3 linked regions of the Cricetulus griseus genome follow. The main gene of each other region encodes a partner of the protein of the gene in region 2 in a complex. Links are inferred from orthologs where the notes say so. Each region holds a gene or a part of one and is shown on either strand. Other genes may lie near its edges.

The links.
Region 1: the proteins of Nrip1 (region 2) and Esrrg are in contact, whole or in part, in a crystal structure (PDB 2GPP), measured with the Homo sapiens proteins. The link is inferred for Cricetulus griseus from reciprocal best matches to the Homo sapiens genes NRIP1 and ESRRG. Residues at the interface, in NP_001426204.1 of Homo sapiens: Ser378, Leu379, Leu380, Leu381, Leu383, Leu384, Lys385, Ser386, Gln387; in NP_001429.2 of Homo sapiens: Val277, Ile280, Lys284, Phe289, Leu294, Gln297, Met298, Leu301, Gln302, Lys448, Leu449, Glu452, Met453.
Region 3: the proteins of Nrip1 (region 2) and Rora are in contact, whole or in part, in a crystal structure (PDB 4S15), measured with the Homo sapiens proteins. The link is inferred for Cricetulus griseus from reciprocal best matches to the Homo sapiens genes NRIP1 and RORA. Residues at the interface, in NP_001426204.1 of Homo sapiens: Thr499, Leu500, Leu501, Gln502, Leu504, Leu505, His507; in NP_599023.1 of Homo sapiens: Gln332, Val335, Lys339, Phe344, Met345, Gln349, Gln352, Ile353, Leu356, Pro505, Leu506, Glu509, Leu510.

The regions. Positions count from the first base shown.
Region 1 is NC_048598.1:6,689,823-6,693,472, forward strand, and holds part of Esrrg (estrogen-related receptor gamma), read right to left. Parts: intron 2,956-3,650; coding exon of another isoform or gene 2,935-2,955; coding exon 2,773-2,934; intron 1-2,772. UniProt on the Homo sapiens protein: Orphan receptor that acts as a transcription activator in the absence of bound ligand. Binds specifically to an estrogen response element and activates reporter genes controlled by estrogen response elements.
Region 2 is NC_048597.1:18,834,090-18,838,374, reverse strand, and holds the start of Nrip1 (nuclear receptor-interacting protein 1), read right to left. Parts: upstream 2,948-4,285; 5' UTR 2,818-2,947; intron 2,464-2,817; exon of another isoform or gene 1,859-2,463; intron 1-1,858. UniProt on the Homo sapiens protein: Modulates transcriptional activation by steroid receptors such as NR3C1, NR3C2 and ESR1. Also modulates transcriptional repression by nuclear hormone receptors.
Region 3 is NC_048597.1:180,928,546-180,931,824, reverse strand, and holds the end of Rora (nuclear receptor ROR-alpha), read right to left. Parts: intron 2,570-3,279; coding exon 2,405-2,569; 3' UTR 582-2,404; downstream 1-581. UniProt on the Homo sapiens protein: Nuclear receptor that binds DNA as a monomer to ROR response elements (RORE) containing a single core motif half-site 5'-AGGTCA-3' preceded by a short A-T-rich sequence.

The sequences.
Region 1 (3,650 bases), on a different chromosome or scaffold from region 2:
CATGACTCCAGCAGGCTGCTTTGTAAGCCTTCATCTCCACTTAGATGCACAATCAGGGCTGCTAAGTCACCTCTGACCTTTCCTAACCATGGGGCTTGGGAGAAGTTGCTATATATTTTTTTATAGCTGGTCTTTATTGTGACAATCCTGGATGGTATCAAAACATTGCCTTAATAAATCTCTTAACTCAGGGAGACGAGCAGAGCTCAGGGGAATGATAGGTGATTCGGCTTCATGATGGCAGGATTCACACTGCTGTTGTTTGTTTGTGTTTATGGCAGGGGGCATGGAATCCAGAGGGCAATGCTGAGTGTTTTCCTCTATGGCTCTCCACCATTTTTTTAAGCTAGCAACTCTCATTGAATCTGAAGCCCACTGGTTTACTTAGACTAGTGACCAATTTCCCAAGATCCCCCTGTCTCCAAATCCATGACTGGGATGACAGATACGTGCCACCATGCCTAGCTTTTACATGGTTGCTGGGGAGCACATGCATGCTTCCATGTTTTTGAGACACAGTCTTACTCTTACACAGACTGGTCTGAAATACACAATTTAGCCCAGTCTATTCCAAACTGTGGTGCTTGTCCTATCTCAACCTAGCTAGTCCTGGGTTTTGGCAATGGTGTTATGAGTCACACTGGGCTTAAATGTGACTTGAAGGTTCTAGAAACATCCATGAACTTATAGGAGTGCTTGAATTTCTCTTTGCCACAAATCACTCTGCCCTTGAATAGAGGGGAATAAATATCCTGGGTTGGACTGTGGTTCTCAGTGGGGAGGGTTGGGGTAGGCAGCTTGGTGTGAATTGTTTCCAGGCATGTTGGAGAATAGGTTTTTTTGTTTGTTTGTTTGTTTGTTTATTTGTTAAGGGTACTACTGGCATCTAATGGGTAGACGCTAAGGATGCCATTAAGCATCCCATAATAAATAGAAAAGTCAGCTAGAACAGAATTTTCTAGTACCAAATATCCATAGTGCCACGATGAGTAACCATGGGTTATAATAACTATATTTAATATACATGTATGTGCATGTGTGTGTGATAATAATAAAGAAAAAGGTTATTTACTTGAAAGTTGGGGTTATGGGAAGAGACCAAAAGAGAGTAATTGGGAAGGGCTAAGGGTAAAGGGAGGGGAGAAGTGATGTAATTTTACTTAAATTAAAAACATTAAAATAGAAAAACTGTGCCTAGAAGTATATATAACAATGGGATATCATGTGTATGATCTATGTTGATTATGGAAAAATGTGTCCATAGACATATTTTCAGAAACTGTGAGTTTTGTCTCTCTGCTGTAACCTGACCACCAATAGCACCTTCTTTCCAAAGAAATTTTCATTTACAATCCAGACAAATCTGCTGCCTAGCTTTTCTTCCCTGTGATAGGCTTTCATTACACAGTCAAGGCTAATCCTCCAGCCTCAGCCTCCGGAATGCTAGAACACCACACCCAGCCATCTGATGCTTTGTGAATTTCTTCCTCCAAACATCTTTTTAGGCAATCCATATAGGTGTGATTGTAACCTAAATACAACATCATGTAGCCACAGGACCAGACTGTATTCTTTTAGATATTGTTATTCTTGTGCGGGTGTTTTCCAAAGCATACATTCAAGTTACCCATTTAACTAACTAGTTCTGACTTAATTTGGAGAGCTTTATTAGCAAACAGTGTAAGACAAAGTAGCCGGTATAATACAGAGTGATGTTTAAATTAGTTTACAATTTGCTTGGTCTCATCTAGAACTGCCCTGAACAAAGCTATTCAGAAATGTCAGCTGTGTCCCTAACCCACTGTAACAAATTGTTGCCTGAGCGCTGCACACCTAATGACTTCAAATTAGCTTCACCGCTATACTGCCTGACAGTTCGTTACGACTGTTAGCGACATGGCTGGCGTATCATGACCAATAAATTGGTTTCAGTGTGGGCTGGGAAAGGGACTTCCATCAATTTGATTAAAGAAATTACTGTAGCATTCAAAGCATAAAGACAAACTAGTTTAAGAAGACGGAAATAAGTTAACCGTGTGTGCCAGAAAAACATTTCTTGTCATTCGAAAACTTCTTTATGAACTATTTGAAAATAAAAGTCCAAGGAAATGAAATCAAGTTCAGACACAATACTAACATTTTCAAAATATGTGGCCAGGTATATTATATATTACATAATGGGTCAAAAAAGAAATGTAATAAAACACTAACTTGAAATCAGCAAATGGGAAAAATCCACCATCTTAGTCTATCATTTCATTTTGTATTTAGATTCATCATAAATATCTGATTGCAAATTAATGTAAAATTTGTGATCATAATGAGAAAACCAATGCAATATGATATGATATGATATGATATGATATGATATGAAAGAACAAGATGGATGATTCTTAGAAGCAAAGGGGACATTAGCCCAGTGCTGAAAACAATAGTGAAAAATACAGAATTATCTTCATCAGGAAAAAGATAAGAATTACCACTATAACTAAGAAATGGTTTTATGGATTGTACGGTCTTTATTTAATGTGGGCAACTAATGCCTTCAAATATGAAATGAATGGTGAAGAGACTTCAAGACAGTGCATAGGTAGAATGGTTACTGCTATATAATGCTCTGCCACAAGACAATGAGTACTGAATTAAGTGCAAACAACAAAGTGATGGTTAAGAAATAATACCACAAAAAAGGTACATTTTCCTCCTATGGTGCATATAAACCTGGAGGCAACTGCAGCCTTTGTGTTTCTTTTGGGTTTTCAGAGAACTTACCTGGAATATGTTTTGCCCATCCAATGATAACCACCAACTCTCGGTCAGCCAAGTCACAGAGTGTTGTGAGGGCTTTGATGTCGCTGTCGGGAACAGTAGGGTCAGGCATGGCATAGATCTTCTCTGGTTCAGCCACCAACAAATGCGAGACAATCTTGTTATCTATGGGGTCAAACCAGAGAACTACATGATCACTAACATAGTCACCCAGTTTAACAAACCCTAAGGTAGTTTGTGTTTTGGAACATAATTGTACCAGCCTCCAATAAAACACACCTGCTCCATCATAGCTTTCTCTGTGTGCCTTAAGCAGTGTGTAGGAAAATTCACATCAAGAAAGAAGTCACTGTTCTTGATGGAAAACATCCCTTTCTTTGCCTAGCTTTCTGGAAGGAAGACTTGGTCCTGCCATGAGCATTTTTATAGCAGACAGGTAAGAGAAGTTAGGTGCTTCTTGGGTTTGCTCTCTGATTTCTAAGTGGGATCTGGTGAAGCAGATTGAATAGCACACAACAGTTTCAAAATAAAAGCCTACTGGAAAACTGAAATATGGACTAATGCAGAAAGCAAAGACCCATGAGTGCCCATAGTCTTAGTAGGCACAAAAGTCATTAATTGTTTTAATTCTTTTGAAGAAGAGCTAAAGGTCAGAGCCCTTCTGCCAAGATGAATTACCGACTATATAACTCTATTTCCTTGGGATGAATTAAATTGGAGTTTCCCTCCTTCCCTGCCGTCCCGATGTACCAAGCCAACCCTCCAAATACAGCTAATATCTGCACCCATAAAAACCATCCTGCTTATACGAGACAGCATTTTCTCCTCCAAGCACCTTATTCTTTAATCTTCTACTTTCATCTGTTGTCCTCAGTTCATTC
Region 2 (4,285 bases):
GATATGAGTTAATTCATTTTCAGTTGTCCTCGATGTTCTAAAATAGTGATGTTTGACAGAATTAATCCAGTGCTCTAGTTCTCTCTGTTCAACTGATATTTAATTAAAGATCTTGGAGGCCATCTTTTAGGCTACACGTTACAAGGAGGAGCATTACTTCCTCCTTGGACAATGTGCTGCGCCACATGGCAGAGGCTGCCTCCCTAAGGTGTCCTGTTCAACAGACTGCTCTCTTGCATAGCCACCACCAGCAGGACAGATAATCACTCTGTTTCACATGGCCTGATTCTCACATAGTTGAACCCCAATTCAACTACTGTCTACATTCTCTCTGACCTTTTCAGTGTCTAGAATTTTGTAGTGGCAATACTCCTCCCTCTATATTTTTTAATCATTGCTTTTGTTTCCCTAGAACCACAAAAGGTACTGAGAACACTTATTTCGTAATATTTCTTGAATCTCTGAAAACAGAAAATCTTTTAGCAGTCACAGCCACCCCTAAAGCTCACGCTTAGAAGGCTCTGCCTTACATTTCTGAATTAATATCTTTTGGAGGCCAGCCCACTTGAGTTGATATGTCATAATTTTCTATTCTGAAGGTGGCGTGGATAATTTAAATTGGCCCTTGCTGTTTATGACTTAAGTAATTGTTCTTTTGGACAGCCTTTAGGAAGCCTCAACTTCTCAAATCATGTTTGGACCATGCAGCAACCATAAGGGACCTGGGGATGGATGTAAGCAAACTCCAGGAGCCATAAACTAACAAGCAGACTCTAGGTGGTGGTATAGGTTATTTTTTATCACAATGTTTTGCTCTTAAAACTGGAGGACCCAGAGCAGCCCTAGCCTCAGCCACAAACACTTCTCCACTGCTAACTCACAATATTTCCGGATAGCTCAATTAGAAAAGTACAAGTTTAACAAAGTTTGGAAAACACAGGTTCTCAAGCTTCTCATGGGTTTTAAACCTGATGTTCCACGGTCTCAAAGGCAGCACAGGGACTCTCATCTGTGTAAAGGCAGCCACCGAACTAACTGCCCTCCTTATTTACTTCTTACCTGTTTTCCTCAAGCTCCTCCTGTACTTTGCAGGCTAACTTTGCAAAGAAATCTCCCCACCGGAGTACAAAGTGGCCTGGAGTAAGTATCCAGTCCTAGACTAAGCAGTAGTGCCTGCTATGTTACTGCTTCTCCTTTGTCTATAGGAACTAAGTAAGACCAAGCCTAGAAAGTTCCTATTGGTGTTGAAGCCAGGCTCCCTGAGTCAATTAAACCCTATGGTCATTACCAAACTGCTGGGCAAAACCAGGGCAACTAAGTCACTTGGAAGTAAAAGGACATTTCAACACACCCAGGCAGCAGCCACATTTAGGGGCCATGCGCATGAAGCACTGTTTGCTTAAAAAGTAGACTTACTTCACTGTCTCTTAGACAAAGGTGGCAAACTGGTGACTGAACATTGAATAACAGCATCGGGAAGGTGCCGCCCACTTGGTAAAACCTATGATTCACTAATAAGCAGGTTCAATGTAATTCATAACTTTAAAGAATGAATTCCTGAAGCCCCTTGCTTTACAAAACCCAGGAAATACGAAGACTATACATCATTTACGCATGTATAGGTGTGTACACAGACACAGACAGGCAGGCACACCGATCTTGTTTTACTTTGAGACAGTCTCTCTCTTCCTCTAAAACACGGTTTTCCCTCAGTGTCACAATCATTTACATTAGCAGACAAACTCAAGCCTGATGTCACAAAAATGAGTTAAAAGTTCTTGCACCTAAGAACGTAGGGACTTTACCACCAACTAAAATGACACACTAATTTTTAAAAAGTATCTTAACATAAAATTACCTAACGTTCTGTTCTTCGTTTACGACCGCCAGAATCCAATTAAATTACTGACATGATGGAAGGTAGAAACTCCTGGAATGCCTCAGAGATCAACATGTGTCAGGCTCACCGCCTGTCCGCCTTTTAAACACAGTGGATTCCTTTGTTCCTTCAGTCTGAACATCAACTCCTGATTAAAATTTGGAAACTACTTTGGGAAGGATGGGGGTGGGGGTCCGGAGAGTGTTGCCACGGACGAGGGTTTCCTCAAACCGGAGTAAGGAGGAGAGTGGCACAAGAGAGAAGAGCGTCTCCGAGGACTTCAGCAGGCTCACACTAAACGCAAAGCCCGCTCTCGGATGCTGGGGAAAAACTAGGCTGAGGCCTCCGGTGCAAGGAGCCTCGCCCTCCCTCGGCAGGCGGGGACCTGGTGCCCAGCAGGCCGGGCCTGGGGCTCAGCGCTGTCCCTGTCCGAGTCACTTTTCCCTGCCGGGAATCGGCGAGCACCGCGCAGGGAGGCACCAACTAAAGGCGGGGAGCAGCGCGGGCGCCACCGCGGGCACCGCTGGGCGGCAGGACCGAGCGGCGCAGCAGCCAGCGCCCGGGGCTCGGGGCCAACAGGAGCAGCCGAGCGGGCTCGACCCGGGCCCCGCCACCCGGCCACCCGCGTGGGTCCCGGCTCAGCACACCCAGGGAGGCTGCGCCCCTCGCGCCACGGCTGGCACGGACGATCCCACGGCTGGGAACTCTACAACTTGGCGGCCGCGTCGGCGCGGGGGGGGGGGGCGGCCGCGAGTTCCCGGGGAGACCCGGAGCCGGGCGCGGCGGCAAGCTGTCCCCGGGATCCGTGTGGCCGGCGTCCCCCGTGGGCCTCCCCGGCCTCCGCCGCCTCCCCGGGCCGGTCACCCAGGCCGTGCCCGGGTGGCTCGGCGTCCGCTCTGCCAGCTCTGCACCGAGCCCGGGCCGCGATCGCCACTCACCGAGGCCGCCTCGGCTCCGGGCCGCCGATCCGCGTCGCTCCCTCCTTCCCGGGTGAGCCGTGCCCTGCGGCCGCGCGAGGCCACGGGCGGTGCGCACGGGCGGGCTGGGGCCGGCTCGTCCTCCGCCTGCACCGCGATCGCCGTCGCCTCCCGAGTTCGGGGCTCTGCTGCAATGTCTGCGAGGCTGACTTTGAGCGCCTCGCTCGCCGCCCGCCCGCCGCAGCCGCGCTCCTCCCTCCGCCGCCGAGTTCGCGGCGGCCGGGTCCCTCCCCTCGCTGCTCCACGCCATTCAGCTCTTCAGCCAAGTTTCTTAACCCTTTTCTGCCCCTCCCTCCCATTGTCACCCGGGTTGATCGCGTACCCGGCGGCTCGCTGGAGCTGGGGAGCCTATCCGGCTCCTGCAGGCCTCCTCTCCGGTGCTCCGGGTGGGAGACCCGGGGCTGCGCGGCCTTGAAGGTAGAGAGAGGACACAGTTCGACCGGGAAAGGGGGGTGCCTTGCTCTCCGAGCAGGAGCCCTGGCTTTCCGGCCCCGTCCAGCCGCCTGGACAGATTGTCCCTAGGGACCAGGTGATCGTCCATGTCACCCAGGCTTGGGCAAGCGTTGTGAGCACCGCAGAGGAATAAAGACACCCTGACCCTTCCCTGGGGTCTCCACCTAGGGGCTGGCACCTTAAGGGTCTCCCTTCCTCCCATTTCACCCACAGCACGCGTTCTCTTGACTGCCTTTTACCCACCCTAATTTCCACCTCCTAGAAATCTGTGTCCCGCTTAAAATCAGGAAGGACGGCGCTATAACTCTAGGTCATTTTGACCCCATGCCCACAGCACCTAGTAGGACCCAGTAATTAATGTGGCGTGATTCCAAGCGGAAAACTGGGAAGGAGACCTGAGGAGTGCCCAGCTCAGCTCCCTAGACGGACGCAGGACCCAGGAACCGGGTTTATCTTCAGCTGCTTTGTCACTGCGAAGTCTCCAGCAGGGTCTGTCGGGCCATCTGCACCACCCCCAGGAAGGATCTGACCCAACAGGACTAGGAGATGGGCTGTCACCTCTTTAAGCAGCTGTGCTCGGTTCAGAGTCTCAATAAATAACAATTACATCACGAAGCCAGGGTGGCAGTACAGTGAAACCTGGGTTTCCTGCAGCCTTGTCTTGCTGAACCCGCCTCTAAATTTGAGGGGGGCTACAGATTGGTGAAGCGAAAAAGTGGAGGGAGGAGAGAATAATAAGAAACCATGATCTCGCCCTCTCGTGTTTTCCGCTTTAAAATCCTCTCCTCGCGAACATTACTTGTGAAGACTCCTTCTGACGCCCCTCCCCACCCAGATGTCACGTTTCCTTTTCACTTTAGTATCTCTCCATGAAAAGAATTACCAGCGGAAAAAGAGTGGTTGTAAAAGTTGGTTTTATTTGACATAAAAAAAAAAACAAAAAACTGAAGTACATTTTCACTTCACCCTGAACTGT
Region 3 (3,279 bases), about 160 Mb from region 2:
TTCTTGCCCAATATAAATACTATATGCTGACAGCTAACCTCTCTATATAAACACATAAAATTTTCTATGCTTGTAAGAAATTTAAGTAAATATTGCTCTCCTGTTTATGATTAAACCCTTACTATGTCTCTGGAAAAAAAAAAAAACAAAGATCAGATGTCATTTAGGCTTCACCCATACATTTCTGTACAAATATTTCCTTCCTACTTTCCAAGTCCCTTAGTAAATAAGGCAGAAAGTCAGTGAAGTTGAAAATTGTGAAGTACTCTGGGAAGCTGGCCCTGGTAAACCCATCCTATGGACATCAGCAGGAACAGAAATGTTGGCAAAAGATTCTAGAAGGACCCTAGTAGCAGAGGAGGCTATTGGATGTATAGGATTTTGAAGAAGCACCCAACTTTGTGCCATGGAAGATGTTCCCTTTTCCTTACAGATACGGTCTTTGAGGCCAGACCAGTATCTTGTGACCAAAGTCATTTCCCAAATGCCTCCTAATTTCTCAAAAGGGCACTTGTTTTAAAGGATTTATTGATTTTTTCTATGTCCGTCTCTCTCATTGTGTGTGTGTGTGTGTGTGTGTGTGTGTGTGTGTGTGTGTGTGTGTACTCACACCCATGCCCACACCCACAGAGGCCAATAGGGAACACTGGTATCTTGGAGCTGGAGTTACAGGCTCTTTTGAGCTGCATGATCTGATTGCTGGGTTCCAGGCTTTGGTCCTTTGATAGAGCAATAGTGCTTTTGACCATTGAGCCATCATCTTTCTAGTCTCAGGGCATTTGCTTTCAAAACATGCACACCTATGAACATGAGACTGTTCCTTCCTCTGCTCACTGGGGATTATTTTTAAATGCAAATTTAATCAAGATTACCTCAATATTTCTTACCTGAACACAAAAGCCAAACTATTTTCTAAATATTTAAAAAAATAAATTACAGTCCACAGTTTTCTAGTGAAGGATAAACACACGAGAAAATGTCTGCAGCTGGCATCACCTTCACTCTGAAGGCTTATTTTAAATACAGGAACCAGGTTCAACACTGCCTCCCTCCCTCTTCATCCACTGTCTACCCAATATGGACAGCAGCATTTCTAGAATCTCGGACAGCTAGTCTAGGGTCAGTTTTCTCTGAGATGAATTCTTAGGGCTCCTGATGCCAAGAACATAAGGCATTCAATGACTGTGGGGAGTGTGTTTGCTCCACATAGAGTCTTTGGGTGCTTCTAAATAAGAGCTACAGTCCAATAAACATTCTGGTTACTAATATGTTCTAAGCATCAGAATTCCGAGTTGATACTGTGTCCCTGTGACTACTGAATTATGTCAAATGAAAATCTCTCCTCCTTCACTTCCCAAAGGTGGCATCTTAAAAACTTAAAAAAATGCACATATGGTTTAAGCCCACAGCACCAGATACTCTTTTGACTCTGTATGAAGCATAAACACACCCATTCTTAATTGCATGCAAAACAAAGTATGATCCGTTAATTCCAAATTTACAGGTGGGAAAAGAAATTCAACATGTTGATTTCTGGATATGACCAGCCAGTCTTTCAAAAGTAATTTTTTTTTTGTTTTTTGTTTTTCTTTTTTTGTAAACAGCAGCATAAATACCTCCCGACGTACCTTCCAAGCCTTCTCAGCTAAACTTGTGTTTCTGGTGTACATGCGACACGGCGACAGTGAACACGCTAGCATTTAATTTAAAGAAAACAAAAGGTGCAAAACGGAAAGTGCCTTATCAATTCAACAGGAAAAGCTACGCCAGTCACTACATTTTATATTAATTAAAACAATATATAAACAATATCTCTTTAGCTATATATAGTCTTCATGCCCATTTACCCTGTGTAATATATTATAATGCTATTGTTGCGAGCGCTATGGATCCCCTTTTCACGCCATCCCGCTGACCGGCAATAATCGGTGAGAGAAACAAAATCTTCCTTCATGACACAGAAAAGCAAGCTGTGCAAAGTAACGCTGCAACCCCCGCTATGCATCCCGGGGTCACCGATTACTGCTGGACTCTGTTGTTACCCGTAAGAGTCTGTGGGCAGTGAGCTATAAGAAAAGGGACTTCTCTGACTGTAGTACCCTCCACTTGCAGAGGTCAACCGCTTTAGAAGTCGAGACAGAAAAGGGTCCGTATCTGTAGGCATAGTGGAAACCATATGCATGAGCAAAACAAGTTTAGCTTTTATTGGTTCTCATTGTTTTCCCTCTGTGCCTGAACCCCGATCACCACAAGATGTCTGTGCAGTGTGTTGGCGCTCCAGGGCTGTGCAGGGCCATAGAAAGTGTCTCAGTTAATTTTGTCTTCGTTGTCATTGTTTTATTTCCTTTTTTTTTTTCTTTCATGTTTGTACTTCAGTTGTTCTAGAAGTGCTCGGGTACTACATTTACCCATCAATTTGCATTGCTGGCTCAAATTCTGAAGTGAACAATTCCTTGTATAATGGAGGAAAATGGAGTCGCACAATGTCTGGGTATATTGCTTTAAATGCCATTAGCTTTTCTGTATGTCGTCCACATAAGGCTCTTAACGTAGACACCTTGCATATTAGCTGTAAGCAGGAGAAAGGACAGGATGTCAGGGGAGGGCAGTCATAAGAGTGAAAATCAAGGACTCAGGATGACTTCCACAACATTGCTCATCATGGCGAAGACACATTTACTGCTGCTTAAGCCTCCAGTGAGGGGGCAGGGAGAGATAGATAGAGGTCCTATAGTAGGACACTTGGAATACACCAGATGCATTTTGAATATGAATAACTTAACTCAAAGAGGTATTCATATGCAAATTTGCCCCCCCCCCATATCCCCAGAGCCCAGGTGAGGTTCTGGGCTCCTCCCTAATCCAGAGTGCACCATCTGGAGCCCTCCTGGCTGTCTCAGTGGGAAAACAAGAAGTTTGCTCACAGAGAAGTAGGTGAGTGGCAGTCCGGGTTAGAAAGGGCACTACAGCTAGAAAGAGGAGTACCTATTATACACAGTATACAGAATGAGTGTAAGTCAATTGCTTTTTGTTTTTAGAATGCCATTTATTTATCTCAACTCTGTGTGTGTGCAAGTATGTTTATATGCTATGTGTGTGTATGGGCAAATTCTCGGAGTCAGTTCTCTTCTTCCACCATGTGGGTCCTGTGGGGGGGTCAAACTCAGATCAACTGGCTAGTGTCTTGAGCCTCTTAGCCATTCACCAGACCAAATGAGTAAGTGCTAGGGGTGATTTTCTTCCAAAGAATGAGCTTTTTCTACACTAAGGGTCTCAGCG